Linked DNA regions of Macaca fascicularis. The protein of the gene in region 4 interacts with the protein of the main gene of each other region in a pairwise test. Links are inferred from orthologs where the notes say so. Each region holds a gene or a part of one and is shown on either strand. Other genes may lie near its edges. The genes, in order: GNPDA2, PPP1R18, FBF1, TRIM27, TCHP, TRIM23 and SPATA2.

The links.
Region 1: the proteins of TRIM27 (region 4) and GNPDA2 interact in binary tests that used the Homo sapiens proteins (3 or more experiments, as listed by UniProt). The link is inferred for Macaca fascicularis from reciprocal best matches to the Homo sapiens genes TRIM27 and GNPDA2.
Region 2: the proteins of TRIM27 (region 4) and PPP1R18 interact in binary tests that used the Homo sapiens proteins (3 or more experiments, as listed by UniProt). The two-hybrid records come from large-scale screens. The link is inferred for Macaca fascicularis from reciprocal best matches to the Homo sapiens genes TRIM27 and PPP1R18.
Region 3: the proteins of TRIM27 (region 4) and FBF1 interact in binary tests that used the Homo sapiens proteins (3 or more experiments, as listed by UniProt). The two-hybrid records come from large-scale screens. The link is inferred for Macaca fascicularis from reciprocal best matches to the Homo sapiens genes TRIM27 and FBF1.
Region 5: the proteins of TRIM27 (region 4) and TCHP interact in binary tests that used the Homo sapiens proteins (3 or more experiments, as listed by UniProt). The two-hybrid records come from large-scale screens. The link is inferred for Macaca fascicularis from reciprocal best matches to the Homo sapiens genes TRIM27 and TCHP.
Region 6: the proteins of TRIM27 (region 4) and TRIM23 interact in a two-hybrid assay, tested with the Homo sapiens proteins (2 studies listed by BioGRID and IntAct). The link is inferred for Macaca fascicularis from reciprocal best matches to the Homo sapiens genes TRIM27 and TRIM23.
Region 7: the proteins of TRIM27 (region 4) and SPATA2 interact in binary tests that used the Homo sapiens proteins (3 or more experiments, as listed by UniProt). The two-hybrid records come from large-scale screens. The link is inferred for Macaca fascicularis from reciprocal best matches to the Homo sapiens genes TRIM27 and SPATA2.

The regions. Positions count from the first base shown.
Region 1 is NC_088379.1:44,152,413-44,156,313, forward strand, and holds the end of GNPDA2 (glucosamine-6-phosphate deaminase 2), read right to left. Parts: intron 3,900-3,901; coding exon of another isoform or gene 3,780-3,899; intron 2,685-3,779; coding exon of another isoform or gene 2,583-2,684; intron 886-2,582; coding exon 776-885; 3' UTR 694-775; downstream 1-693. Other genes in the region: GUF1 (translation factor GUF1, mitochondrial), read left to right, coding at 2,583-2,684, 3,780-3,899. UniProt on the Homo sapiens protein: Catalyzes the reversible conversion of alpha-D-glucosamine 6-phosphate (GlcN-6P) into beta-D-fructose 6-phosphate (Fru-6P) and ammonium ion, a regulatory reaction step in de novo uridine diphosphate-N-acetyl-alpha-D-glucosamine (UDP-GlcNAc) biosynthesis via hexosamine pathway.
Region 2 is NC_088378.1:141,967,229-141,971,625, forward strand, and holds the start of PPP1R18 (phostensin), read left to right. Parts: upstream 1-1,380; 5' UTR 1,381-1,605; coding exon 1,606-1,781; intron 1,782-2,000; exon of another isoform or gene 2,001-2,397; intron 2,398-3,203; coding exon 3,204-4,397. Other genes in the region: NRM (nurim), read left to right, coding at 299-580.
Region 3 is NC_088390.1:82,331,923-82,335,689, reverse strand, and holds part of FBF1 (fas-binding factor 1), read left to right. Parts: intron 1-652; coding exon 653-1,111; intron 1,112-2,244; coding exon 2,245-2,346; intron 2,347-2,725; coding exon 2,726-2,814; intron 2,815-2,983; coding exon 2,984-3,042; intron 3,043-3,767. UniProt on the Homo sapiens protein: Keratin-binding protein required for epithelial cell polarization. Involved in apical junction complex (AJC) assembly via its interaction with PARD3. Required for ciliogenesis.
Region 4 is NC_088378.1:144,252,327-144,256,843, reverse strand, and holds the start of TRIM27 (zinc finger protein RFP), read right to left. Parts: upstream 2,831-4,517; 5' UTR 2,480-2,830; coding exon 2,060-2,479; intron 827-2,059; coding exon 731-826; intron 1-730. UniProt on the Homo sapiens protein: E3 ubiquitin-protein ligase that mediates ubiquitination of various substrates and thereby plays a role in diffent processes including proliferation, innate immunity, apoptosis, immune response or autophagy.
Region 5 is NC_088385.1:116,771,843-116,776,375, forward strand, and holds the start of TCHP (trichoplein keratin filament-binding protein), read left to right. Parts: upstream 1-1,611; 5' UTR 1,612-1,764; intron 1,765-2,224; 5' UTR 2,225-2,396; intron 2,397-3,414; coding exon 3,415-3,602; intron 3,603-4,347; coding exon 4,348-4,533. UniProt on the Homo sapiens protein: Tumor suppressor which has the ability to inhibit cell growth and be pro-apoptotic during cell stress. Inhibits cell growth in bladder and prostate cancer cells by a down-regulation of HSPB1 by inhibiting its phosphorylation.
Region 6 is NC_088380.1:71,290,864-71,294,630, reverse strand, and holds part of TRIM23 (E3 ubiquitin-protein ligase TRIM23), read left to right. Parts: intron 1-49; coding exon 50-179; intron 180-702; coding exon 703-813; intron 814-2,277; coding exon 2,278-2,402; intron 2,403-3,767.
Region 7 is NC_088384.1:105,995,964-106,000,244, reverse strand, and holds the start of SPATA2 (spermatogenesis-associated protein 2), read left to right. Parts: upstream 1-1,429; 5' UTR 1,430-2,078; intron 2,079-4,281.

The DNA.
Region 1 (3,901 bases), on a different chromosome or scaffold from region 4:
GTTAAAATGACTTGGAACAACCTTATAGGTGTTACAGACTACTTGTGATTTGCTTATAGGAGAAAAACTTCCTTTGATTTATTTTCTAACTTTTATTTCTCTTAACAAAAAAAGTTACTCCCCTTTTCATGAAGAGTTGTATTCCTTGTCTGTTAAGAATTAGACCTAATTTCAAAAATTTACTGTAACCTCAGTGGCACTTTTAAAATGTATTTGTATGTTACGCAATCTCAAGAGCATCTGTTTACATTTGAAAAATAAAAGTGCATATTCAGTCCGTAAAAAATGTTAAGTGTGCCCCTCCATTAGTGAACACTTTAATAACTTAGTCTTTCCAGGAACAGGTTGTCCACATCATGAAAACCATTGTGTATCTCATAGGAGTACATGGAGAAAAGCCAGACAAAAATGAAAGAAGAGTTACTATTAAATAACAAATAAGGAACTCAGGGCATGGCATTCTGAGAGGCTGTTTTTTTTTTGTTGTTGTTGTTGTTGGGGCATCTCACTCTAGGTACCCTCACTATGCCCTAAAATCTTATGTTACGGGATAGTATATAGTAGAAAATAGATATGAAACATGGGGAAGCAAAAGGGGAAAAATGAACATTGACATCTATAGAACTCCCACACAGTGCATGAATATTAATGTTAATGTGCAGAGACAAATTTCATGTTTAACGAACATGCTACAGTGACTTGGAATTTTAACTTTATTTAATCATCTTGTCAGTGAAGAGAGTTAGCATATATAATTCTTCTTACCAAGGAATCTTCATGTTCCTTTGTATTGAGAATTTTTTTCTACTTTGTCACCCAGTTTTTTTTTTTTTTTTTTTTTTCTTTTATGTCTTCTTTCAGACAAGACCTTGAGCAAGTAAGTGGCTGTGGAATTTAAAGTAAAATGAATTGGGGGCATATTAAAATTACTAGAGTTGAAAGGAAGATTACTAGGTTTAATGTTTATAAATATTTTTCACAGAAGTCTGTCAATTTTAGTTTGCATTTGGGTACTACTTTCTGAATTATAAGTGGTCTTAAAAACCCTTTTCATTTGGAAACTTAAATACATTTTGAATTTAATGAGAGAACGTGATTTTTGAACTACATAAAAATAAAATATTCCCGCTTCCAGCATTAAGGTAATTGTTATGTTCAAGATGGATGTTTTACATATGCAGTCAATTCCACACTTAACAGAAAGTCATCATAGGCTATGAATTAAGATCAGGGAAAAATTTATTTCATACCAGGAGGCAAGAATCAACTGCAACTAGGTCAGAGCAGGGAGTCCTGTGTTATACTAGAACTGTAGTGGTGTCTAATCAAACAGGCATTTGCCCTCAACCCATAACCCCAGTAGCTTTTTGGAATTGCAGATGTGTTTCCTGCATTCTAAGGGAACACTAGAATGCCTGTGTTTTCAGTAGAGGTTAGGAATTGATTGGGCTCCTTGGAAAAAGAAAGCACAATTTTTATAATGATTTCTTTTGAAAAAATGAGTTAAGAAATTTTTAAGATTTTTAATATTTTGGACCACAACATAGCTGGAGCTGTAACAACTTCAAAGTTAAGGACCACGTCTGTTTTTTCCTCTTCCTATTTGCTTTGTATTCTATAGGATACTTAACATGGTATCTTTCATACAGTAAATGTTTAATAAGTGATGCTTTCTGAAGAAAGGATTTTAACAGTACTTCTGAAAAGAATCTGTTAATAGAGTGTATTATTGTCATTTTATGACCTTTCTGCTGAAAATCTTTAGAAACCAAACATAATTTTGCAAGTCCAGGCACCAATTGTTTTAAAATTAAGACAGTAGGAGTATACATGTTCTTGTCTGTGATTGGGACAACTTGTAAGCCTATAATTGAAATTTTCTTGTTAGACTTCAGTTTTATAAGTTAAACATTTAAATACCTGTTTTGACTAACATTGCAAGCTTTGACCACATTGTTAAAAGTAACAGCTGAAACTAAGTGCTTGTTTGCATGCTAAACTAGGCTCTGTTTGGCTCTGTTTAAACATGTATTATGTACTAGGCATTGCTCTAAGTGGTTTACATGTATTAACTCATTTAATCCTCACAAAAGCCCTCTGAAGGGAGGTGCAAACTGAAGAGCCAAATAGGAAATTCAAAGGTCTCATTTATTAATGGCATTTTATGAGTGTCATAGCATTTATTTAAACATAGAGTTGTCATTGGTAATAGAAAGTTAAACAGAAACCCAACTCATAAATCTGAAAATGATCCATTAATATATAGTATTGTCTGAAGCTTGCCAGCTGCTGGGAACATGGGAAGGCATGGTATTTGTTTTCAATAAACCCTTTTCTTTGTCAGGTTCACCAATTTATTTCCCTTTCCCCTATAAACATATTCCCTTTGTTTTTGCCCTTGATTTAATAAACATAAAAAGATAACATTTAGATCCATTCACAAGAAATTGTATGTGTAATATTTTGATGGAAAGATCTCTTTGGGGAGTGTAATGTGGCAGAAAGTAGCCATTTTGTAAAGAGTAAAAAAGGTAATCTCTTGGGAAGTGTAATATTTATCACTTGGACTTTTTTCCTTTTAGTTTTGATTATGAAGATGCAGGCTACCAGACTGCAGAACTTGTGAAAATGGATATTCTACTGAATGGAAATACTGTAGAGGAGCTAGTAACTGTTGTACACAAGTAAGTTGAATAGAAACTAATCGTGGAATGTGAAAATACTCACTTTTGATATGTTTTTCACTTATTTTTGAGCAGCTGCATTTAAAAAACTTTTAAAGGTAATTAAAATAGAGTTCACCCTACGTACTTTGCTTTCTCTTCTTTTTCCACACTTCTCTCTGGACTGCTAAAAATAGAACAGAGCTATAATAGTCAAAAAGAATAGTGTAATAGAAATGTTTCCCCTTACCACACACACACACACAAAAGTTTAAAAAATTTTATGATGATGGATTTAGAATTGGGAACAAGTTGTTTTGTTTTGTTTTGTTTTTTTAGATGGGAGTCTCATTCTGTCACCAGGCTGGAGTGCAGTGGCGCAATTTCTGTTCACTGCAATCTCTGCCTCCCGGGTTCAAACGATTCTCCTGTCTCAGCCTCCTGAGTAGCTGAAACTACAAGCGCTTGCCACCATGCCCAGCTAATTTTTGTATTTTTAGTAGAGACGAGGTTTCACCATATTGGCCAGGATGGCCTTGATCTCTTGACCTCTGATCTGCCTGCCTCAGCCTCCCAAAGTGCTGGAATTACAGGCGTAAGCCACCGCACCCTTTTATATTTGTAAAAAAATTATAAAAAGGAAAAAACCCACGTGTTCAAGAAACAGCAGATTGGTTAAAATGAATTACAAAGCACCCATATTGTTATTTTCAGCCATTAAAACTTGTGGAGTAGTATTTAGTGACAAAAATGTCTATTAAATAAGAGGGTAGAATATATCATAAACACTGATCATAACAAAAATATGCAAAAAAATGACTAGAAAGATATATGTTTAAAATAAACATTCCAAAATGTTTACCGTTTTCAGTGGCTAAGGAAAGAGAATCAAGAACGGTTTCTATTCTCTAATGTATTTCTAAATTTCCTGTAATCATACATTGCTTTCTTAGAGAAGTTGTTCATGATTCAGAGAGTAAGAGATATTTATGATAAGTAAGTTCCATTTGAACCTCCTTTAGAGATCACCTTTACACTGATTATGCAACTGGCCTAGAAAAATACTTGAAATATTCTTATTTAGGATATATAAACAGTTGTATTTTTCTGTCTCAGAGACAAAGCACACTCAATTGGCAAAGCCATATGTGAACGGCTGAAGGATTCTCTTCCTAGGCAACTGTTTGAGATAGCAATTCAAGCTGCTATTGGAAGTAAAATCATTGCAAGAGAAACGT
Region 2 (4,397 bases), about 2.3 Mb from region 4:
CTACGACCTCTGACCCGTTTTAGAACTACTCTTTCCCTTTCAAGGGTTTCCCTCCTCCCATGCTCTTCTACTGTCTCCTTGATTCTCCCTCATGACCCTTCCCTCAGAAGGACAGCAACCATGGGCCTCCTGGGCCTGGGGAAGGTACATGGATCATAAGTCAGGATCAGGGATCCAAGTCTCAGAAGAGGGGTTCCTGGGCCTGAGCTCTAGAAGGCTGGTGCCTGGAAGAGGAGGAAAGAAGCGCCCAAGCTGAGAAAAGGGCTTGACTCAATTTCTAAACTCTTCTCCCTCTTAGGTATACTACCATGTGCTGGGGCTGGGCGAGCCTCTGGCCCTGAAGTCTCCCCGGGCTCTCAGACTTTTCTCTCACCTGCGCCACCCAGTGTGTGTGGAGCTGCTGACAGTGCTGTGGGTGGTGCCTACCCTGGGCATGGACCGTCTCCTCCTTGCTCTCCTCCTTACCCTCTACCTGGGCCTGGCTCATGGGCTTGATCAGCAAGACCTCCGCTACCTCCGGGCCCAACTACAAAGAAAACTCCACCTGCTCTCTCGGCCCCAGGATGGGGAGGCAGAGTGAGGAGCTCACTCTGGTTACAAGCGCTGTTCTTCCTCTCCCCCTGAATTCTAAATCCTTAACATCCAGGCCATGGCTGCTTCACGCCAGAGGCCCAAATTCATGGACTGAAGGAGCTACCCCTTCCACTACTTGAGAGTTTATTCTCTGGGTCCAGCTCCACACCCTAAATTCTGAGTTTCAGCCACTGAACTCCAAGGTCCACTTCTCACTAGCAAGGAAGAGCGGGGTATGGAACTCATCTGTCCCCTCACTGTTTAGGGCATGACACTTTCGCCCTCAACAGCCTCCTGAGAAGGAAAGGATCTGCCCTGACCATTCCCCTGGCACTGTTACTTGCCTCTGTGCCTCAGGCGTCCCCTTCTCCACCTCCGGCTTCCACTCCAAGAAGCTGGACCAGGGTCTGCAAGTTCAATGGTCATAGCTGTCCCTCTAGGCCCCACACCTTGCCTCACCACTCCTGGTCCTAGTCTCTGCACCTCCTTAGGCCCTGCCTCTGTGCTTAGACCCCAACCTAGTCAAGGGTATTCTCCTGCTCTTAACTCGATGACTTGGGGCTCCCTGCTCTCCTGAGGAAGATGCTCTGCAGGAAAATAAAAGTCAGCCTGATTTTTCTACATATGGCATGCAGTCTGTCAGTGTCTCCCAAGCTGCAGGGCTGAGTTTGGAAAAGAAAGCCAGAGGGAGCCTGGGAGCGCCGAACTGGAGTCTGGGCAGCCACCACGCCCTCTGGCAACCGCTGGGCTTCGGCCACCCCCCGCCGACCCGGCCCACTTTGCCAGAGCGGCCGGGTCCCCATTCCCATTCCTTCAAATTCCCTTTTTCCCGGCAGCCGACCCGGAGACCCAAGGGAGACAGGTTGAAGCTAGAAAGAGTCCGGCAGCAGCTCTGGTAGGGGGGCGAGCTTCCAAAACCTCTGGTTTCTGAGCGCCTCTCCTGCCGCCCACTCCACAAGGCCCCCCACAGCCTGGCGGTTGCCCTCGACCCGCAAAAACAAAGGCCTGCAGAGGTTGGACCTCCAGACCCAGATGAGAAGGCAAAAGCATAGGGAGGAGCTGCAGGAGATGGGAAGGGCGGGCCCGGCCCCGAGCAGCTGCCGCTTCCTCCCAAAGTCCCACGAGGGGCCTGAGTCACGGGCCACCGCCCTGGGTCGGCGAGCTGGGGGAAGGGATCTGGACACCTGGGGTGTCCGGGCGGGAAGCTGGTGAGGGCCCCTGGGGACACAGCGGAGGGCCAGGGGTTGGGACAAGAACAGGGTAGTCCCGGAGCGAGTCCCACGCGGGGTGGGAGGGAGCTAGGCCCCGCCCCCTCCTCGGCTCCGCCCTGCGCCCCCATCCCTCTCCTCATTGTCCTTAGACAAAGCGGTCGCCGCCCCCGCCCGGCCCCCTGGTCTCTGTCTCCGTCCCACCTCCTTTGCTGCCTCTTTCCCTCCTCCTCTCCTTCCCTCCTCTCCTTCCCTCCTCCCCTCCCTCTAGTCTCCGGATCTCCCTCGGTCCCTCTCTCCTCCTCTTCCTCTCTCCGGACGCCCGGCTCCTCGGCACCCCCTCCCGCGGGGGTCCTGCGGCGTGTGAGTTGACTGAGGGGCTCAGACTTGGGGAGTGGGTGTCTCCTCGCTCCGGTCCTTGCTCCCATCCCTGGCCCGGATCTTGGCTGTCTCCTCTTTGTGCCGAGATTGTCAGTCTGTGCGTCCAGAGCGGGGTGGAGACTGCCGGCTCTGTCACGGCTCCATGAGAGCGGGGACGGGGCACAGGACTTGCAGGCGCCGGGGAGAAGAGACATGGAGCCGGCCCTCGGCACTCTGGGGTCGCGTGGCGCAGCCGGTGGGGGAGGCAGGCGGTGGTGACGGGACAGGGTGGGGGTGGACGCCAGGGTTCTGGGAACGCGCTGGCAGCCCTGACGCCCGGGTTCCGAAAGTCCCGGGGGTGGGTATTTCCCCCGACCCGCCTCGGGGGCGGAGTGCGGGGCAGAGGGGTGGGGGCTGGGGAGAGGCGTGGCCCGAGCGGTGCTGGAAGGGGAGCCGGGACCTTTGGGGCCCGCGCTGAGACGCGCCGGGTTGCTGCCGCCGCGCTCCTTTCCCCTCTTCCTTGGTTTCCCTTCTCCCCTAGACCTCTTCGCTTTCCGCTCCTCCTTGCCTCCCCAACACCCCCTCAGGTCCCGTTGCCTCCTGGTCCTTCCAGGGATTCCTGGTCCTTCCTTCCCACACTAGTCTCCCTGGGGTATCGCTGAGGCAGTCTGGCCTGCACCCAGATTCCCCTCACCCCAGCCTCATTTCTCTCTTCTCCCTCACACCAACTTTCCTTTTCGCCCTTCTCTCTCTGTCTCACATCCTAGAGACTGTCTTTAATACGCATTAACCCTGACTGCCACATCTGGCTCCTGCCCTCATTGCCTCCAATCTGGACTCTTCCTCTCACATCACCCCCACCACCCCCAACTTGGGCTCACAACTTCTCTTCACTTTTTCCATTTCCCCAGTTCTCTGCCTTCCCTCTTTCCCTCTGTCCTCATCCTTAGCCCCCCTGCCCTGCTTTGTGTCCCACCTCTCCCCCTCCACTTCCTCTCCTCCCACCCTCAGTCTCCCCCCTGGGCCTCTCTGGAGCCTCTCCTTCCTGTTCTCTGCCCCCAGTGCTCCCTACCCTCACCTCAAGGCGACCATGGCCACCATCCCAGACTGGAAGCTACAGCTGCTAGCCAGGCGCCGGCAGGAGGAGGCGTCCGTTCGAGGCCGGGAGAAAGCAGAACGGGAACGCCTGTCCCAGATGCCAGCCTGGAAGCGAGGGCTCCTGGAGCGCCGCCGGGCCAAGCTTGGGCTGTCCCCTGGGGAGCCTAGCCCTGTGCCGGGGACTGCAGAGGCTGGCCCTCCAGACCCAGATGAGTCTTCGGTCCTTCTGGAGGCTATTGGGCCAGTGCACCAGAACCGATTCATCCGGCAGGAGCGGCAGCAGCAGCAGCAGCAGCAACAAAGGAGTGAAGAGCTGCTAGCAGAGAGAAAGCCTGTGCCTCTGGAGGCCCGGGAGCGGAGACCCAGCCCTGGGGAGATGCGGGATCAGAGCCCCAAGGGAAGAGAGTCAAGAGAAGAGAGACTAAGTCCCAGGGAGACCAGAGAGAGGAGACTGGGGATAGGGGGAGCCCAAGAGTCCAGCCTGAGGCCTCTGGAGGCTCGGGACTGGAGGCAAAGCCCAGGAGAGGTGGGAGACAGGAGCTCCCGACTGTCAGAGCCATGGAAATGGAGGCTGAGTCCTGGAGAAACTCCAGAGCGGAGTCTGAGACTAGCAGAGTCTCGAGAGCAAAGCCCCAGGAGAAAAGAGGTGGAAAGTAGACTGAGCCCAGGGGAATCTGCCTACCAGAAGTTGGGCCTGACAGAGGCCCATAAATGGAGACCTGACTCCAGAGAGTCTCAGGAACAGAGTTTGGTACAACTGGAGGCAACAGAGTGGAGGCTGAGGTCAGGAGAAGAAAGACAAGGCTACTCGGAAAAATGTGGCAGAAAAGAAGAGTGGCCAGTTCCAGGGGTGGCTCCGGAAGAGACTACAGAGCTGTCCGAGACCCTGACAAGGGAGGCCCAAGGCAGCAGTTCCACAGGAATGGAGGCAGCAGAGCAGAGGCCTGTGGAAGATGGCGAGAGGGGCATGAAGCCAGCAGAAGGGTGGAAATGGACCCTGAACTCCGGGAAGGCTCGAGAATGGACACCCAGGGACATAGAGGCTCAAACTCAGAAACCAGAACCTTCAGAGTCAGCAGAGAAGCGTCTGGAATCTCCTAGTGTGGAGGCTGGAGAAGGGGAGGCTGAGAAGGAGGAGGCGGGAGCTCAGGGCAGGCC
Region 3 (3,767 bases), on a different chromosome or scaffold from region 4:
GGCCTCCCAAAGCTCTGGGATTACAGGCATGAGCCACCATGCTCGGCCTGATTTTTTTTTTTTTTTTTTTTTTTTTTGAGACGGAGTCTGGCTCTGTCGCCCAGGCTGGAGTGCAGTGGCCGGATCTCAGCTCACTGCAAGCTCCGCCCCCCGGGTTTATGCCATTCTCCTGCCTCAGCCTCCCGAGTAGCTGGGACTACAGGCGCCCGCTGCCTCGCCCGGCTAGTTTTTTTTTTTTGTATTTTTTTAGTAGAGACAGGGTTTCACCGTGTTCGCCAGGATGGTCTCGATCTCCTGACCTCGTGATCCGCCCGTCTCGGCCTCCCAAAGTGCTGGGATTACAGGCTTGAGCCACCGCGCCCGGCCCTGATTTTTCTTTAGACCTGTGTGCCCACGGCTGTCATTTCATTCTGTTCCTGCTCTGCGGGGAGAACTGTCCCTGGTTCAGGTGATGGAAGTCAAGATCTCTGTACTTCGTTGTTCTACAGATAGCACGCGGCCTGCCACATGAGCCAGTCCAGGAGCCACTGCTTACTGGGCCTCAGCTGAGCGTGCAGGGTCCCAGGGCATCGTGCTGCCCAGCCCCAGGCTGCTAGGGGGCCAATGGGACTGGCTGCTTCCCCTGCCTGACACCCTCCTTTCTGTCTTGAAGTAGGTTCTTAGCAGACAGTGGCCCAGACCCCAAGGGAGAACCAGGCTCCAAACAGAGCCCTCCAGCTGCTTCCAGCCCCATCCAGCCCAGGAAGGGAGGAGCTGACTGGCTGGGCCTCAAGGACGAGGACTTGGACCTGCTCCCTGCCTCACCCACCAGAGAGGCCCGTCGGGAAAGCTTGGTGCCTGCCACGCCCTCAGTGCCTCCTCCTGCAAGCCAGCACTCCACACCAGCTGGGCTGCCCCCCTCCAGGGCAAAGCCACCAACCGAAGGGGCAGGGTCCCCTGCCAAAGCCAGCCAGGCTTCCAAGCTGCGGGCCTCCAAGGAGGAGGAAGAGGAGGACTGGCTGAGCCATGCCCTGTCTCGGAAGAAGTCCCAAGGCCTGGCCAGAGAGCAGCGTGCTGGGGCCTCTGAGGGCCTGAGTTTGGCGGGGACAGCGGGCCATCCCCCTTCTGGCAGGTATGGGCTTGGGCTGCTGTGGCTAGTAGGGGGAGGACTGGCTGCAGACTTGAGGAGCCCCTTTGCCCCTCCACCTGTTGCAGCCTCAGTCGGGAGTTGGGGAACAAGGCAGGGCACTGTGGGCACAGAGGCCGTTTCTTGGCTTTGCTACTCTGCCTTTTGGGCACTGCAGAGAGAGCCTCTGGCTCCCGGGCTTGCCCCAGGGACACACCCAAGAAGGAGAGCTGTTGACATTCATGCCCTGACTGCCATGGGGACAGGTGCTAACTAGATCGGGCAGAAGACAGAGGGTACCTGAGGTGGCAGACACACCGCTGCCCTGTCACAGCGCCCTCAGGCTGGAAGCCCCAGCATCCAAACAACTGGTGCTTCTGCCGACTCCACTGAAGTGAATATGGCGTGTGTGAGACGAAATGTCCCTGTGCTCTTTGAGAGTGTTAGAAGAGACACAGTGGCCGAGAGGCACCTCCTGGCAAGCCCCTATCCGTGGGGCAGGATAGCAAGTGACCTCTGAGGGCAGGAAGGCACAAGGGGACGGCAGGCTGGGGGAGTCCAGAGGAAGTGGTGAGATGTGCTGTGGCCAGAGCCCAGGGTAGTGAACTGGGAAATTTGTGGCAGCCCAGGGACGTCACCCAGTCCTGGGGTTGATGAGGGCAGTTGTGACTTTGACCTGAGGCCTAGGGGAAAGCTCAGGCCAAAACAGATGAGAGCCTGTCTCTTCACTGACCTGTGAGCCGAGAAAGAGGTGGGAATAATGGGAAAGGGAGCCAGCCAGATTTGGGAGACTAAGCAGAACCTTAATCTAGAGCTGAGCCAAGTTAAGTGGGCTGGAACAGGGCTCTGAACTTGAACTTGACGCCAGTGTCTATAACATTTCCATTGTCACTGCTTGGACCGTGTCCATTCACTGCGCCACTGTGGACACTGCGGCAGGAAGGGGGTATTTGAAGGGAAGAGATGCCCAGAAATCCCAGGAGCTCAGATGTGGGAGGAGAATGCCCCAAGATGGGATGATGGGAGCAGGAGGAAGGGCGGCCACGAGCTTCACGTGTGAAGCCCGTCCTGGGACCCATCTTCATCCAGCCTGACCTGGGCCTTCTGTCACCTTCACCTTGAATGCTGCCTTTCCTCAGCCAACCTGTCACCAGCACACAAGGACTTGAGCAAGCAGCTACTGGAGAGAGCTCCGGAACCGCCGCACAAGAAAGACCGTGTGTCAGGCCTGGTGACTCAGGGTAGGCCTGGGCTGCGGGCTGAGTGGGAGTGAGATCGTGGTGGGCAGCACAGGCCTCTGTCCTTAGAGAGGGACACAGAGACTGCTCACGCTGCCCCATCCCCATGCCCCACACAGAGGTTGCCCACCCTGCCCTGTCCCCATGCCCCACACAGAGGCTGCCCACCCTGCCCCGTCCCCGTGTCCCACGCAGAGGCTGCCCACCCTGCCCCGTCCCCGTGTCCCACGCAGAGGCTGCCCACCCTGCCCCGTCCCCGTGTCCCACGCAGAGGCTGCTCACCCTGCCCCGTCCCCGTGTCCCACGCAGAGGCTGCTCACCCTGCCCCGTCCCCGTGTCCCACGCAGAGGCTGCTCACCCTGCCCCGTCCCTGTGTCCTCAGGTCCCCTGTGACTCGGAACCATGCCGCCTCAGCACTCCCTACAGGTTCCCCAAAGAGGCGACCAGCCCCTGGAGACCTCTCAGCCACTGGTTTGTTTTTTGTTTTCTGCTTCATTTGGGAGTTTAACCCTGGGTGAGGAAGAGGTGCTTTGAGCTTCCTTTGGGGTCCCTGGGACATGAGTGACACCAGTCCCTCCTGGACACTCACAGGCCCAGAGCCCTGGGCCTCCTGCTCATTTCTCTGCTATTGATGTTTCAGAGCCTGCCACCTGTTTCCCGAGCACCCAGGAACCCACAAAGCCTTCCATGCCCATCCAGGTAGGGGTGTGGGCAGACAGGTCTAGCTCAGGGCCTAGGGAGCAATTCTCCATGCCCAGAGGCAACACCAACAGTTTGACCTGATGACCTGCCAGGAAAGTATGTCAAACATACCAAATGTGACGTCAGCCAGCTCCCCCGGCAACCCCCACCAGAACTTGCCTGAATCTCTAGCCTCGCTGCTCCCAGGGTGTTAATTTGCCTACATCAGTGAGGAGTTTGAGGAGGTAGCCAGGCCGGGAAGCTGGGACACTGCAGTCAGAAAGCAGGGCCCAGGGTCCTGTTCTGTCAAGAAAGCCTCCTCCACCCCTGCCATCCTCGCACCACACCTCTGCCTCTGTTTCCCATGTGTGGCAGTCACCTGTGACATGTAGGCCTGGGAGATGTGGCCCCCAGGAGTGTGTCCCTGGGAGATGGTGGGTAGGGGACAGCTTGTGGGAACCAGATTAGTGTCAACATGTGGGCTTCAGGCCTGACAGGAAAAGCTAGCGTCAGCTTTTGTCATAGCAGAGACTCTGCTGGGGCTCAGCCATTTGTCTGGGAAGCCGGAGACCATGCAGGGGAGGAAGCTGTTCTGGGGTGGTGGAGGGAGACATGCTCCTGACCAGACCTGCAAGGGGAGGTACACTGGGGACTGCTCAGCCACAGTGACTGTGACTCTCCAAGGCCTTGGACCCATCTGCAGCCACAGATCAGATGCAGGGAGGTCCGGTGAGCAGCAGGCC
Region 4 (4,517 bases):
GGTCAGGAATTCGAGACCTGCCTGGTCAATATGGTGAAACCCCATCTCTACTAAAAATACAAAAATCAGCTGGGTGTGTTGGTACATGCCTGTAGCCTCAGCTACCTGGGAGGCTGAGGTGGGAGAATCACTTGAAATGTGAGGCAGAGGTTGCAGTGAGTCGAAACCTTGCCATTGCACTCCAGCCTGGGTGACAGAGTGAGACCCTGTCGGAAATAAAAAGAAAAAATTCCCATATACCCCTATCATAAATTAATACATCAGCCACTTGTCGAGGCCTTGAGAGATTGGAGGAAGAGAGCAGAGCAAAAAATTCAGAATTAAGGCATTGTCAAGAAAGGAGAATAACACAAAGAGAAGCAACAGTGGGACTTACACAAATCCACTATTAGCACTTGTCTGAAGAATGGTAACAACGCAAGCTAACTGTATCCAATAATTTTACCCATCTCAGCTTTGCCAAGGATCAACCTTGGTCTACGCAGTTAGCAGGTTAAACTATACTGACAGGTCTGATTTCCAAGGGTTCCAAACTTGGCTCCTCCACGCTTTCCCCAAAAGAAAGGGAATCTCTTAGTTCTCTGGGTGAGTTCCCACTGCCATGTGCAGTTGATCCCCCTCTACCTACAGGTTCTGGGTGACATGCTGGACAAGTCTAAGGGAAGTAACATCAGCTCTACAGAAGAGGGGAGCACCAGCAGAAGCGACTGTGAATTCCAACAACCCTTACCAAGAGTTCAGCTCGTGCCTGTTCCCCTTGGGCCCGACGTCTCTTCTTTAAATCTTTCACTCTTTTTAAATGGTCAAGCTGGTTCTGGATTTGCTCCTGAGAAAAGCAAAACAGATGGGCAGTTCAAAACTAGGTAGACCTTAGCATCAGCATGGTACTTCTAATCACACATGGAGTCCACACACCTGATGCCAAGTATCCAGTTGGCACTTGTTCTCAGGCCACACTGCCACCCACAAGAGAAAGACTCAGGGCGCAGGGGCCAACAAGCCACTCATTTGGCAATTTGTGTCTATCTTAGCAGCCTGTCGCTTCAACCACTCAGCTACCTCGTCAGGATTATTTGTGTCTATCTTAAACAATGAATCATCTACCTGTCCCTGGTAGGATATCGCATGACTTAGCGGAACTGTGACTGGAGTAGGAGGCTTAGAGTTATGTTGTATTGTAGCTCTTCCACACAAGCATACTGTGAAAGTGACTTCTTATTTCCCTCATGTGTGAAATGGGCAAACACCATCTTCCCAACCTACTCAAGAGTTCTCACCAGAGTAAGTGAAAGAATATAGCTGAAAGGTCCATAAATGTTAAGTGATTAATTACACATGAATGTATTCATATTTAAACACGGACATAATTGTGTATGAATTCCTGAAGCCCTCAACATACAGAAAATACACAGTATCATGGACTCCTTGAAGGTCACCTTACAACTGTTTTATATGTAATATTTTGTTTCCACGTTTCTGTTTAGCTGTGCCAGTTCACAGAGGGCTCTGTGCATCACATGATTCCATAATCTTCCTCATAACTGTTATCTCCTGAGTCTCAGAGTGGTTAAATGACTTAAGCAGTGAAGAGCCTGTTCTTTTCTGTGAGTTTCTAGACCAGGACGTATTGCAGGAAAGTGCTGGGGAAATGCTTATAGACCAAGGAATGGGCATCGGTCAGTTAATGTCCGACTGCGTTTTGTCTGACAGCCGACGAGAGTACATGTGTCTCTACAGCTCGTCGATGTGCAAGCGATTTTATGCACTTCTTTTATACTGTCAAAAGCATGTCTCCGTGTACAATGTGTCCGTGAGACAGGAAACATGGGGGCACACAGAGAAAGGAGAGTGGGGGTGGGGAGACTTCTGGCTCCCTCGCCAGCTACAGGTTTTCCTCCAAATCTGAGTGCTGAGGCTCTGGAGCGGACAGAGAGGAAATGACGGCTGTGAACCACACGTCCGGCTCAGCCATTTTCTAGGCGGAAAAAGGGAAGCCCCTTTGGCTCTCTCCTCCCTTTGTCCGACTCGCGTTCCCGCCCTCCCGGATCCGCGCCCTCACCTTGAAGCCCTCCACTGCCTCCTCGAGCGGCAGCACGCTGTGGCCGCGGTGCTCGCGGGAGCGGTCGCACACCACGCAGATGGGCATCTGGTCCTCCTCGCAGTAGAGCTTCAGGGGCTCGCGGTGTTTCTCGCACACGCCCATCTCGCCGCCGGGCCCCGACGGCCGCTCGGTGCGCAGCTGCTTCACCAGCTGGGTCACGTTGGCCAGGTGCCGGTTGGGCCGCATGTGCCTCTGCGGGAAGGTCTCCCGGCACTGCGGGCACGACACGTTAGTCTCTGCCGTGCCCCAGCAGCGGGCGAGGCACGCGCAACAGATGTTATGGCCGCAGTCGAGCATCATGGGCTCTGCGAAGTACTGCAGGCACACGGGGCAGGTGGTCTCCTGCTGCAGGCACTCGGCCACGCTCCCGGAGGCCATGGCGCGGGCCTGCGGGGGCTCACGGGCATGGGCCCCGGCGCCGAGCTCTGCACGGAGCCCAACTCTCCGGCGCTCTCTCCCGTTCGCTGTTCCTGGGAGGCACCGGGCGGACGGAGGGCGGTGCCTCCCGGGCCCGTATCCCAGACGCGCCCGCGCACCGAAGGCTCAGAGTGGCCGGGCCGATCCCTGCGCCTGTGCCCCCTGAGCGAGTGCGGGAATACAGCCGGCTCACAGAGACTCGCGGCCACGTTACTGGGGCAGGAACGGGTAGCCAAGGGTCAGGATCCCAGGGCCAGGCGCGCAAAGCGCGCAAGACAACGTGGCCGCGTCCGAGCGGATCCCGGCGGCCGCGTAGACCCCACCCCGGCGCGAGCGGAAGAGGCGGCTCGGGGGGCGGGGCTTGGCCCGCGCTTATAGTGTGTGACAAGATTTCGTGGCCTCGGGGCCCGGGCTGCTTTCTCTAGAAAGGCCTGGGAGGCTCCGCCACTCTCCCTTGGGCGGGTCGCGCCGAAGCTCTAGCCTAGGGGACTGGTCACAAAAGCAGATGGTGCCACACGCTCCGGGCCTACAATCTTCCGCGACTGCCGGGCCCAGGCCCCTAGTGTTTAGTTGGGTTTCTTCTTGGTGCCCAGGTCTCAGCCCCTGCTAAAGATGGCTTTGGCCGCGCGCAGTGGCTCACGCCTGTAATCCCAGCATTTGGGAGGCCGAGGCGGGTGGATCACGAGGTCAGGAGATCGAGACTATCCTGGCCAACATGGTAAAACCGCATCTCTACTAAAAATAGAAAAATTAGCCGGGCGTGGTGGCAGGCGCCTGTAGTCCCAGCTACTTAGGAGGCTGAGGCAGCAGAATCGCTTGAACCCTGGAGGCGGAGGTTGCAGTGACCCGAGATCGCCACTGCACTCCAGCCTGGGCGACAGAGCGAGACTCCGTCTTGAAAAAAAAAGAAAAGAAGAAAGAAAGCTGGCTTTATATAGGTGCTGGGGAGCGCAGACATCTGGCTTCCCCAAGAGGCTGGAGGATGAGGAGGGTCACCGTCTGAGCCCACCTGATAGGTGAGGCCTTTTATTAAACAGACCCATTTGTAGGCACTTGCAGTTTTGTTTAGAAAAAGAAAGGTTTAATTATCAGATGGTAACATTTCTGTGTGGCAATAACAAGCCCAGCTCTGCTACCTCTCACTTGTGCCCAAGCAAGTTGGTTTACCATTCATTTACCTCAGTTTCTCCTCGTGTGAAATGGGGATGATAACTGTACCGCCGTAAAGAAGTAGATTTCGTTACATCTTTTACTTTTTGAACCATAAGGTTGTTTATCCATTAAAATAGTAACAAAATGCCCATTACATAGGGTTGTTGTATTGAGGAGCAACTAAAAATTGCTTGCTCCTTTCTGAAGTATAGAGAGACTAAGAATCCTACAGTGACCCAGGGTCTTGGAGTCCCACAATACTCGTTGTCTTATCATGCAGTAGACCTCCAGCATTTTTAAGTTGCTTTCTTATCCCTTGCTTGATGTCTCCTGCTTTTCTTTGAGATTTTCTCAATATTGTCCTGCTATCTGAGCAATACGGGCTTCTGCTTCCAGACCTTACTTGATTTTTATTTTATTTTTTCAAAGTGAAAGTACGTTTATTAAGAAAGTAAAGGAATAAAGAATGGCTACTCCATAGGCAAAGCAGCCCACATCATCACTTTAGAGTTCCCCTCTGGTCCTCTTCCCCATGGGACAAGAAGTCTGAGGGACTAAGTGCACTTGCCAACCCCAAACCCACATCCACCTTGCAACCATACTCTGAGTACCCAGTCGTTCAAATTCCAGTACCAAATAGCCCTAGCCCATTTCCAGAAAAACATAGCGTACTTGGGCCAGGTCACACAACAGTCCGGTCTTGGATTGAGATTGGGTCAACAATGCAATTTGTAAGAATTAAAGGATATGTCTCCTTTCGTTTACTCCAAAAAGGACTAATAAACATTACAATACAGTGCAGAAATATGAGAGATATACACAGGTAGATAAAGCTGCCCTTCATCTT
Region 5 (4,533 bases), on a different chromosome or scaffold from region 4:
CATCATGTTGGCCAGGATGGTCTTCAACTCCTGACCTCAGGTAATCCACCCTCCTTGGCCTCTCAAAGTGTTGGGATTACAGGCGTGAGCCACTGAACCCAGCTGAGGCCATGATGCTGCATCCAGGAAAACCAGAGATGAATACAGAATGGAGAAATGAAGAAGAAACGAAAGAATAGGAAAATGAAAGAAAAGAGAACAAACAAGTAAGTATTTTTCTTCATTTTCTTTTTAATGGAATAGTTGGTATGTAATGCTTGTAGCACACATGAGTTATAAAACATACTAATAGAATGAACACTCTTGAACTCATCACCAATATAATACTATAATATAAAGTTATTGACTGGGTGCGGTGGCTTACTCCTGTAATCTTAGCACTTTGGGAGCCTGAGGCAGGTGGATCATGAGGTCAGGAGATCAAGACCAGCCTGGCCAATATGGTGAAACCCCGTCTCTACTAAAATACAAAAAATTAGCCGGGTGTGGTGGCGGGCGCCTGTAGTCCCAGCTACTCGAGAGGCTGAGGCAGGGTAATCGCTTGAACCCGTGAGGCAGAGGTTGCAGTGAGCCGAGATTGTGCCACTGCATTCCAACCTGGCGACAGAGCGAGACTCCGTCTCAAAAAAAAAAAAAAAAAAAAAAAAAAAAAAATGACCAATAACTTCCATCTACTTATGCCAGCAGGTCTCTGCCCAAGTTGTACATTGAACACACCTGGGGAATTTTGGAAAACACTGGTACTCTCAGATGGGATTTGGGGTTTCGTTTGGGCATCTGGATTTTTTTAAGGTATCTGGATTTCTTTTCTTTTTTTTTTTTGAGACAGTGTCTGGCTCTGTCACCGAGGCTGGAGTGCAGTGGCACAGTCATGGCTCACAGCAGCCTTGATCTCCTGGGCTTAAATGATCCTTCCACCTCAGTCTCCCGAGTAGCTGGCACCACAAGTCCCACCATGCCGGATTAAGTTTAAAAATTTTTAGGCCGGGCGCGGTGGCTCAAGCCTGTAATCCCAGCACTTTGGGAGGCCGAGACGGGCGGATCACAAGGTCAGGAGATCGAGACCATCCTGGCGAACACGGTGAAACCCCGTCTCTACTAAAAAAATACAAAAAACTAGCCGGGCAGGGTGGCAGGCGCCTGTAGTCCCAGCTACTCGGGAGGCTGAGGCAGGAGAATGGCGTAAACCCGGGAGGCGGAGCTTGCAGTGAGCTGAGATCCGGCCACTGCACTCCAGCCTGGGTGATAGAGCGAGACTCCGTCTCAAAAAAAAATAAATAAATAAATAAAAAATAAATAAAAATTTTTTTAGAGACAGGGGTCCCTCTATGTTGCCCAGGCTGGTATCTGGTGATTCCCATGCGCAGCCAGGTTTGAGGATCACTGGCTTATATTCTCCTCCCCCTGGTTTCCGCCTTCACCTTCAGGTGATGGTAACCACTATCCTCAAATACGCGCAGTGCACGGACAGATGCTTTGCCTCCGTCCTTCCCTAGTTCAAGGAGTAGCGACGTTTGCTGTTTATCTCCCGCCGGCCACGAGGGGGCACCAGAGAAAAAAAAAACACAGTCTCCCTTCGCGCTGAAGGAGGCTTGGCCCTTGCGACGCTCCGTCGTCGGGCTCGTTGCTGGCGCAACCAGGGCGGAAACTGCCGGCGTTGCTGTAGCTCGTCTGGGAATTACACCGGGGGACTGGCCCGCCCACTTTGTGCCTGCGGGAACTCGGGCCGGGGGACTCTTCGGAAACTCCAAGACTCAGAGAAATGTGAGTCGAGGGGTTGGACTCGGCCGGATCCGGCGTTAGGGCAGGCCCCGCAGGCGGCCCGCGCGGGCGGGAACCGGGGCGTCAGTCCACGGACGCGAGCTCAGGGCGCCTCCTGGGTCCTCACTCTGCTCCCGACGCGCCGTGACCCCCTTTGTTGCACGTGCATGTTCAGGTCGAGAGAGGGATGCGAAGCGTTCGGGGAGTAGACCAGCTTGTGGGTGGCCAATCTGGGACCGGAATCTTAAACTTTTGACTCTTGATGCAAAAGTTGATCCACTGGCGGTTTTACGGGGCGGGGAAAAAAGTATGTGAAGCTTGCCACGGTCTCGAGACCGAGGTCACACGTTAGCAGCCCGCCGGCTACATTTGGACCATAGATGCAGAGTGTTTGCCCCCAAACTTGGAGGACCTCGAGTATGAGATTCTTGGCGTGGACCAGGCTTTTTCGCTTATTCGACAGGCGTTCCTACCCAGGCACTGCATCGACCCTGCACTCGAGGACAGCTTTTGGGACAGGGGAATTGGTCCCTGGAGTGAGACTGCTCTCTGCTTTCAGGGCTCCAGCTGTATCCCTACATTGCTCAGGCAATTCCTCTCTCTAGCTCTCAGCTTCTTCATCTGCAGGGTGAAAGGTCTGTCCTCCATGGTAGCCCAAAATACTTCCGAGTGTTATATCAGGCGAGGTCCCTCCCAAGGGGCTGCCAGAGCCAGGGCAGGTTGGTCCCAACAGGCAGCCCCTCGCAGTGTAGAGAACCGTGGGCTTTGGTCTCAGACGGACATGAATTAGGAACCCAGCTTGTTTATTTCCTTTGCTTCCTGGCTCCGTGGTCCTGAGCAAATCACTTCACCTCTTCGAACTTAAGGTTCCTCACCTGCCAAATAGCGAGGTGATTGTAAGAATGAAAAAAAGTCGTATGTATTGAGTGCTTGGCACGTACATGTGTTCGTTACATTATTGTCTCTGTTTAAGTAGAGCGTGAATGCCCCCGATGTGCCTACTCTAGCAATCTTAGGACAATCCCTGTGTCTGTCTGTTGTGTCCCTGGTGGTGGCTGGCCCACAGCTGGGTGCATGCAGTCCAGAATTTTTGATGTTTTAGGATTTTTTTGAGACAGAGTCTCACTGTCGCCCAGGCTAAGTGCAGTGGTGCTATCGTGGCTCGCTGCAGCCTTGACATCCTGGGCTCAAGCAGTCCTCTTGTCTCAGCCTCCTGAGTAGCTGGGATTACAGGCGTGCCACCACTCCTGGCTAATTTTTGATTTTTGTTGAGATGAGGTCTCATGATGTGGCTGGTCTCCAACTCCTGGCCTCAAGTGATCCTCCTGCCTCAGCCACCCAAACTGTTGGGATTACATGCGTGAGCCACCGCATCTGGCTAAGGTTTATTGTTTTGTTTTGTTTTGAGACGAAGTCTTGCACTGTCGCCTAGGCTGGAGTGCAGTGGCACGATCTTGGCTCACTGCAACTTCCACCTCCTGGGTTCAAGCGATTCTCCTGCCTCAGCCTCCCAAGGAGCTGGGATTTAAGTTCCACCCGGTAATTTCACTGTGCAGCCAAGGGGTGGTGACCACTTGTTAAAGGGATGAGGCCAAGCTGGTGAGGGTTCCCGGGGTTTACAGTGGCTCACTTTCCTCCCATTCCTGTTCTCAGATGGCGCTCCCCACGCTGCCGTCCTACTGGTACAGCCAGCAGCACCTGAATCAGCAGTTAGCACGACAGCGAGAGCAGGAGGCCCGGCTTCGGCAGCAATGGGAGCAGAACAGCCGTTACTTCAGGATGTCTGACATCTGTAGCTCCAAACAGGCAGAATGGAGCTCTAAAACCTCCTACCAGCGGAGGTAATTTTGCGGTAACTGCCGATTGGATGGAGGTGGGGGCTACTTGCCAGTCAGGGGATGAGGCCTTAAGGATTTAGGGAGAGTAGGATTTGCCAGGCAGCATGAATTCCCTGCGTGGTGATGTTTTTCCAGCTGGAAGTGGAAAAAAAGATCATCTATGCAGCCATACATTGGCATTGAAAAAGATAAAATGATGCAGAAGAATATGATAGAATTTGGAAGCCTGCTTGTAACCCCATATCCCCATAGAGAGCCACAGTTAACAGTCTCGCAGGTATCCTTCCATGCTTTTACTCATTGGTATTTGTGCTTAAATAAACACACACACACACACACACAGACACAAACTGCTTTTATAGAAATACATGTAAACACATGGAGGCTGAAAGCATAGGCTTTGAAGTCAGATAGACCTAGATGGAAATCCTGACCGTGTCTCTTGCTGAATGTATGAGCTTTGGTTTCCTCATCAGTCAAGTAGGGCTACAGCAGACCTATACTGTAGGATTTATGTGATGGATAACATATACATTATTTATACAGTTATACATTTTCTTTTTGCAAAAACAAGATTTTCTTTTAGGCATACTATTCTGTGACCTGCTATCTTCACTTTAGCTGGGGACACATTCCTGTGTCATCATGACACATCTACTGCGTCAGCCTCTTTTACCCACACAGCAGAGCAGAGCACGCTCCCTGTGGCTGTAGCATGATTGATTCAGGCAGGCCCCCTTTCACCCAGCATGCACGCCTATCAGCGTGAGAAGATGAAGGAAGAGAAGAGGAAGAGTCTGGAGGCCCGACGGGAGAAGCTCAGGCAGCTCATGCGGGAGGAGCAGGACCTCCTGGCCAGAGAACTGGAGGAGCTGAGGTTGAGCATGAACTTGCACGAAAGAAGAATCCGGGAGCAGCATGGGAAGCTGAAATC
Region 6 (3,767 bases), on a different chromosome or scaffold from region 4:
TTACTTCCTAACTGCATGTCAAACATATTTAAAAATATTTAAATCATAGGATAATCGAGTTCACATTGGGCCAAAAATGGAAATTCGGGTCGTTACATTAGGATTGGATGGTGCTGGAAAAACTACTATCTTGTTTAAGTTAAAACAGGATGAATTCATGCAGCCCATTCCAACAATTGGTAAGTATGAATATTGGTTTTTACCTTAAAGAACAGTTAATAGACAAACCCTAGCTTACAGCCGAGTTCTTGGGGTCTTATTTGATACTGATCTGTCATGGTGGTGGGCTCTTTTCTGGCTTTAAGATATCAGCATCTCAGAGAAAAAAAATGTAAGATTGTATGGCTATGGGATTGAAATGTGGATGGGGATAAAAAGAATCAGAGTATTGGTGGGACAGTTGGAAGGAATAGAGGATTGGTGATCCTGGCTGAGGGTGTGGGGTGGGGGGTGGTAGTGGAACAGAGCTTGAAGGTACATGGATCCCAAGGTCCTAAGGACCTTGGTGGAGGTTTAGAGGGCTAGGAGCTGTTACAGGTATACATTCTCCATGTAGGAGTAGGAATGGGGTTGATTAGGCTTCAGTAGATATTGCTGCATATAGATAATTGATAAGTCACAGTTATAAACTGGGGGGTTGTCTGTGTTTGATGTGTCATTCATTGTAAATATAAATATAAAAGTAACTTTTTTTAAAAACAGGTTTTAATGTGGAAACTGTAGAATATAAAAATCTGAAATTCACTATTTGGGATGTAGGTGGAAAACACAAATTAAGACCATTGTGGAAACATTATTACCTCAATACTCAAGGTGAGAGTTAAAAATGACATTTAATTTTTCACATTTTTAGGATGACAGTTTTCAGTGTACTGATTTAACTAGCAAAGCTGATACGTATAAGTCCTTGACTGTATACTTAAGTACCGGTGGCCAGTTTCTTATCTTGTAAAAAATGAAAATAGAAAGATTACGATATGTACTTTTAGTTTATTCCTGATAAACCATTATTACAGAATAAAAGCCATACGTACCTTAGATAGTCAGTTAAGAGTACTCTTGCTTCTCTTAACAGAGAATGTATATTATCAGTATTATATGGGTGTGATTGCTGGTAGTGTCGTGGTATAGAGTTGAATTTATATTGTATGATTCTGCTGAATTCAGTTAAACTCAACATTTATCCCATTATAATCTCACTATAGCCCCACTCCCACATTTCTTTCACAAATAGTTGTTACCTGCAGAAGAATTTACAGTGGCTTGCTTTTGACCAAACTGTATTATATCATATGTATACTCTACATAGGTTTTAGTCACATTTGGGTCTTATTCTACACTTTTGCCTCATAGACCACAACATAGAGCTTACGCTCATGCCACTTATTCTGTATGTTATCCTGCTTTCCACTAAGATGAGAGACTGAACAATTATTTTTACTTTGGGATTTTTGGTATTTAGTATGACCCATAATTAATAGAAAACATGTATTTTGTTTTTGAGACAGAATCTTGCTTTGTTGCCCAGGCAGGAGTACAGTGGCATGACTGCAGTTCACTGCCACCTCTGTCTCCTGGGCTCAAGCAGTCTTCCCACCTTAGCCTCCCAAGTAGCTAGGACTACAGGGGTATGCCACCACATTCAGCTAATTTGTAAATTGTTTTTTTTTGTAGAGACAAGGTCTCACTATATTGCCCAGGGGTCTCAAACTCCTGGGCTCAAGTGATCCTCTCACCTCAGCCTCCCAAAGTGCTGGGATTATAGTTGTGAGCCATTGTGCCCTACAAAAATGAAATTTTGAATATGAGGAATGGTTGAAAGTCTGGGGATAGTTAACTTAGACATAATACTTTAGAGAGATAAAAATGGTGATGGTTTTTGTCTTTTAGTCTTTTATTCAAAGACTAAATGTTACAAAAGTAGTATTCGAAGAACAAGTAGCATCAGTAGGTAGAGGATCATGAGGCCTATTTTGCAATTTGTTATGTAAAAAATGTTATTTGATATACAGACCAATTTGCATTTGATAGAGCAAGTGTTGTAAATCCTTTCATAGATGGGGAAACTAAACCTGAGAAGTTATGTAAACTACTTGAAATCATATCGTTAATTTTTTGTAGGTGCCCCTGCCATACTAGGCAGACTGTGTGAAAATAATGATGGTAGACAAACTCTAACCATAATAATGATGTCATTAAATATTTGGTTCATTTACTGAACTTTAGCAAGTGACTAATTAGTATTTTGGGTTTTTTATTTGTTTGTTTTTTGGGTAGCTGTTGTGTTTGTTGTAGATAGCAGTCATAGAGACAGAATTAGTGAAGCACACAGTGAACTTGCAAAGTTGTTAACAGAAAAAGAACTCCGAGATGCTCTGCTCCTGATTTTTGCTAACAAACAGGTAATGCATTTTTATATTGGAATATTTATTTTAGTAGTTTTGTGCATGTCATAAAGTAACTGGAAATATTTCAGAAGACAGTTCCATAGATATTTATAAAGTTTCTTCTGTGTATTTTGAGTACAATCTATGTGAAAATGCTGTGCTGGGTACCTGGGAGTATACAAAATAGAAATAAGGTAGTTAATGCTCACCAGAAACTCTTGTGTATGCATATGAACCCATAAATGAGATACGAATACAAAGAAAACTGATAAGTAACTTCAGTAACACAGTGTTATGGGAATTAGGAGAGTAGTTCTAAATGTGGCATGTTGTAAGATTGTAAAATGTAGGATTTGAGTTGAAATTATGGATGAGGCTGAGTCAGTATGTGAAAGGAAGAACATCATAGAGAAGATAATAGCATGAATGTTTTTAGTTTAGGGAACATCAAGCAGATCATCATGTCAGGTCCAGGTAGAGGATGAAGAGAATTTAGAATAACAGACAAGGCCATGCTGTAAAGGTCTGACAGGGCTAGACTGAGAAATTTAGGTTTTATTCTGTGAGCAAAGAGGAGTCATCAAAATGTTGGATTAGTGGGTAATAAGATCATATCAGTGTTTTAATACTGTAATTCTGGGGGTAGAATGAATCAGGGCAAAGGACTGGAGACAGGGAGATGCAGTAAGTTGCTTAAATAATTCAAGTGAGCATTAACAAGAGTCTGAATTTGATGAATAGAAAGGCGGAGGCAGATGGAAAAGACTTTGAGGTAGAACTGGTGACCGAATGGGGAGGATGAAGGACTGGGAGTAGCTGAAGATTCCTAGGCCTTGAGCCTTTCTAGGAGGATGAGATGCTTTTAAGTAGAGGTAGGAGAGTAGAAGTGGAGCAGAGGAGATGTCATGGGAGGGGAAGAGTAGGATGAAGAATAAAGAATTTTCCCCTTAATAAAAAAAAGCAAACTATTAAGAACTGGTATATTTAAGACATGCAAATAAGTGAGTGAAATACCATTTTGTGCTCATCAGATAAAGATGAAAGTGTTTTGTAATTCTCAGGCTTATATACACTATTACTATTATTATTATTATTGAGACTGAGTCTTGCTCTGTCACCAGGCTGGAGTGCGGTGGCACAACCTCTGCTCACTGCAGCCTCCCCTTCCTTGGTTCAAGCGATTCTCCTGCCTCAGCCTCCCAAGTAGTTGGGATTACAGGTGCTTGCTACCACGCCCGGCTACTTTTTGTATTTTTAGTAGATTCGGGGTTTCATCGTGGTGGTCAGGCTGGTCTCAAACTCCTGACCTCAAGTGATCTGCCCGCCTCATCCTCCCACTGTTGGTAGGTTATTAAACTGAGACATTTTCTTGGAGGACAA
Region 7 (4,281 bases), on a different chromosome or scaffold from region 4:
ATGTGACTTTCTTTGGAGACTTTGGGTCTTTTCTGATAGTAGATGTCACCAAGTTTCGATGACCAGGGTTTCCTACTGGTAAAGCCCTTCTTCAAAATCTTTGTTTCTCTTTTGGCTGTCACAGACCCACAGACCCACAGAGCTGGAGGGGACTTTTTTTTTTTTTAGCAGTCCCACGTGAAAATGCAATATTGTAAGAGCTACCAAACCAGAGTGTTGAGTTGTTGTAAAGGCAGACTTAAGGTGGGACAGTTTGTCTCAGATGAAATTCCTGTGAACATTATCACGTTGCAGATAATGAAGAGAGGAGCTTAAACATGAGCTGATAAAGAACACAGGGACCTTGAGCGGTGCTCAGGCAATTACAGGTAAACACAGTAATGCTACTGTTTGGACAGCAGATTGCTGGTTCTCCAAACGTTTCCCAGTATTAAAGTCACTGATTCATCACACAAGGCCCACCGGTTTTAGCTGGGGTCACCGAGACTCAGAGTGAGAATCCTACAATCAATGAACATCTATTGTGTGCCTCCTCATCAGACATGTGCGGAGCTTGGGGGGAAACAGATGAATAAGAAGCTCAGGGTCTGGTGGGGATGTCAGATTTTATATATATATTTTATATTTATATATATTTTATATATATAATTTATCTGAAAGTGTTGGGATTATAGGCGTGAGCCGCCGTGCCCGGCTTTTTTTTTTTTTTTTTTTTTTTTTTTTTTTTTTTTAAGAGACATGGCCTTGCTATGTTGCCCAGGTTGGTCTCGAACACCTTGGATCAAGCGATCCTCCCGCCTCAGCCTCACGAGTAGCTGGGACTACAGTCGCGTGCCACCACGCCTGGCTTTATTAATTTTACAGGTTATAAAGCTGAGACTCAGAGAGGTTAGGTAACTTGTCCAAGGTCACACAGCTAGTAAGTGGCAAAGCTAAAAATGGGACCCACGCTCTTAACCGTCGCCCACAGCCCGTAACACCGACAGCCCTAGCAAGGCTGGATTCCAATCACGCGTGATTTCAGCGTCTCACTGGCTCTCTTTGAGCCTCAGTATTTCTGTTCGTACAATGGGGGCGAGGGATCCGACCGTTAGCCCCTGCTTGCTTGTGCGGAGTCATGAATGCAGCTCCAGGCTCCGTAGCGGTTTCCATGACAACCCGGCCAGCCACCATCCCTAAACCGAGTGGCTTCCGTCACGTCCGGCCTGTTTACTTCCGGGTCCTAGCTCCAGACGCGACGATGGCTCGTTAGGCTCCAAACTGCCGTTCCGCCGCTTTCGTCCTCGTTCTTCGGCCTTCCGCTTTGTTCTCGGCCTCTGGCTTGTAGTCTCCGTCGGCCGCGGGCATCGACCGCTTCCCGGAGCCAGCGCGCAGCCGTGGTCCACCCTCTCTTCGGACCCGCCTCCTGGCGACTTCACTTCCGGGCCGAGTGTTTCCGGGTCGCTGCTGGCCCGCGGGTACTGGTCTCAGTACCCCTGCAGCCGGCCGGAGCGGCTAGAGCCCAGTGGGGCCCGGCTCCGGCGGCAGCCGCGCCTCCCGCTTGCTTCCCTCGGCCGGGCAGCCCTCGGCGGCAGTGTCAGGGTGAGTGACGGGCGGCCGCGAGCGGAAACTGTCTCCGGGGCTTCCCCAGGTGGAGGGGGCGCCAGACAGCGGCAGGGCTCGGCTGGCCCGTGAGCGGGGTCCCCTCACGTCAGGCAGGACTACAGGTGGGCCCGTTGTTTCGGCGCTCCCGGGACCCCCAGCCTATCCTCAGGATCCCCATTCTCCTGGGAGCTGCCTTGTAAGCTCCTGGAACCCACCGAGGGTGGCTCAGGGCCGCTCAAGAGGAGCACCCTCTCTTCGGCGACTGGCCAAACAGAAGGACACCCCGATTTCGCCACGAGGCGGTTACTGCGCAGGGGTTCCCAGTTCAGACTCTGGCGGCACACCTGGGTTTGTACTCACTGTGTGACCTTGGATAAGTCACTTCATCTTAAGAGCCTCAGTTGCCTGTTTAAGTGTGATTGAACCTGGTTGCTAGGGCTGGAGTAGAGATGGAATGAGATCATGCAGGGCCCCTGGCATACAGCAGGCGTCCAGTAAGTGATAGTTCCTGTTACTTCATTCAATTCACGAACCCGTGGGGAGGGTCAGAATTTGAGACTGGGCTGTTTTTCACAACTGACGTGGCCCCCCGAGGCTGTAGGAATGACCGAGCTGGGACTTAGCAGCCGCCAGCTTCTGTCCCTTGCAGGGAGGGAAACAGCTTCCTTCAGAGGCAGCTGCCACTAGGGAAGCTTCTTTCGGCACCGCTGAGGTTATTTTCAGAGGTTTGGAAGGACTCTGTGTGAATTTCTTTGGAATCTAGTAGGAGTGTGGGGACCTTCTGGTGTTTCACAGCCCGTGGAAGGTGCCTTGGATGTGTCTCGGAGCCTCTTGCTTGGAACGAGTGCATTGGTGTGGGTGGGGAGGTGGAGGGGGTTGAACTGACTTCCTCGTCTGCTGTTTGGAGGCTGATGGAGCTAGACCAGGGATGTGTAAACCTGTGGACAGGGGCAGTGCACAGACCAAAATAGCTCTGCCTGTGCAGAGAGGGGGCGCCTTCAAATACTGCTTGGGGAACATTTCTGCTTGAATGGGCCAGCTGAGGTAAAGCCAAGCGAATGCTTTGTTACTCGGAATCACTTCACTTCCATGCAGTGGGAGTCTAAACAGATACAGCTTTCCTCTTAGATGTTTAGAAAATAACTAAATAAGCCACTGCCTCCCTGACTGCAATATCTCTCTTTCCATTGACTTGCTTTTCAAGAGGGTGCCTAGATTGTGGGTTCAGGAGGTGCTGACTGGAGCTGTTGACTCTGGGCACCTGCCTGCCTCTATGTTCAGGATATTCACAGTGCTGTTTTTTTGTCTTTTGGGTTTTTTTTTTTTTTTTTCTCCCACCAGACTGGCACGGCTTGGCGTTCCAATCCTTGGGTTGCTTGGAGAAATTAACAGCTTCTGTCGTTGGGCTGTCTCGGTCTCCTGTAACCACGATGTTTTTGCAGAGAGCGTATTTTGTTGTTCTTGCAGAGTGCTGGGAATGAATTGCTGGCTCTGTGCTCAGAAAAAACACCAGCTATGACCAGCTACAAGGCATCTTGTATTCTCAGAAAATGTTTTCAGCAGGGATGATGTCAGCTGCTTCATCACTGGCCGATGTCTCAGGCCAGCCTCTTTCCTCGGCCCTTGAGCTTACATCATATAGAGATTAGCTCTCCTAGCCCCATTCGGTGTGGGAAGATGGGAATTTTGCTACTACAGGAATTTTTGTAACTCAACTCTGCTCGCGCCGCCATAAGGCATTCTAACTTAGCCAGACACTTTCGAGTAGAGCTGTCCAGCAGATGCAGCAGGATGGCTTTGCAAGAGTCAGAGTTTTGGCATTAGACCTAGGTTCAGAGCTCAGAGCCACTTCTTCCTAGCCTTATGACTTAGGGTAAGTGAGTTGGCCTCTCCGAGCCTCAGTTTCCTCTTTAACCTTGGATCTATCCTATGGATTTCATTGTTTTTCATAGAGCAGTTAGCAGAGAGCTGCCACACAGTAATCCCTTGGTAAATGGTACTGATGTAACAATAAATGAGTGAGATAAATTGGAGAAAGCACCAGGCATCAGGGCCTGCCAACAAGAGTTCAGATTCCAGCTCTGATCCTTTCAAACTCTGTTGGACAGGTTGTTTTAATGGGAGAGCCTGTTTTCCTTATAGAGTTGTGAGGATTAAATGGGATGATGTAGGTAAAGTGGGAAGCCCAATACTTAGCACATAGTAGGACCTCAGTAATTGTTAGTCTCTTTCTTTCCTTTCCTTACTGACTGATTGAGACAGAATCTTGCTCTGTCACCCAGGCTGGAGTGCAGTGGTGCCATCATAGCTCACTGCAGCCTCAAACTCCTGGGCTCAGTGGATCCCCCCACCTCAGACTCCCAAGTAGCTAAGACTATAGGTGCATGTCACCACACCCACCTAATAATAATAATAATAATCCAGGCATGTCTTGCCCTTAATTATCTTTTAGCTTTTACTTTCTTCCGCCTTTTCCCTCACCTACCCAGGTTGTTTGGAGATTTGTTTTAGATATATTGGACTTCCTGTCCTTGTTGTTCAGATTTTGAACATCAGCTGGGCTGTTTGGATCCCTTTGCTTTATTTATTGTTTTTCAGCAACAAACAAGGGTGTGGACTGTGGTGCGATTATAGAGCAGCATACGCTGAGCCGAGCTTGCGACTGGCTGACTTTGTAAAAAATCAGTCTCTTTGAGT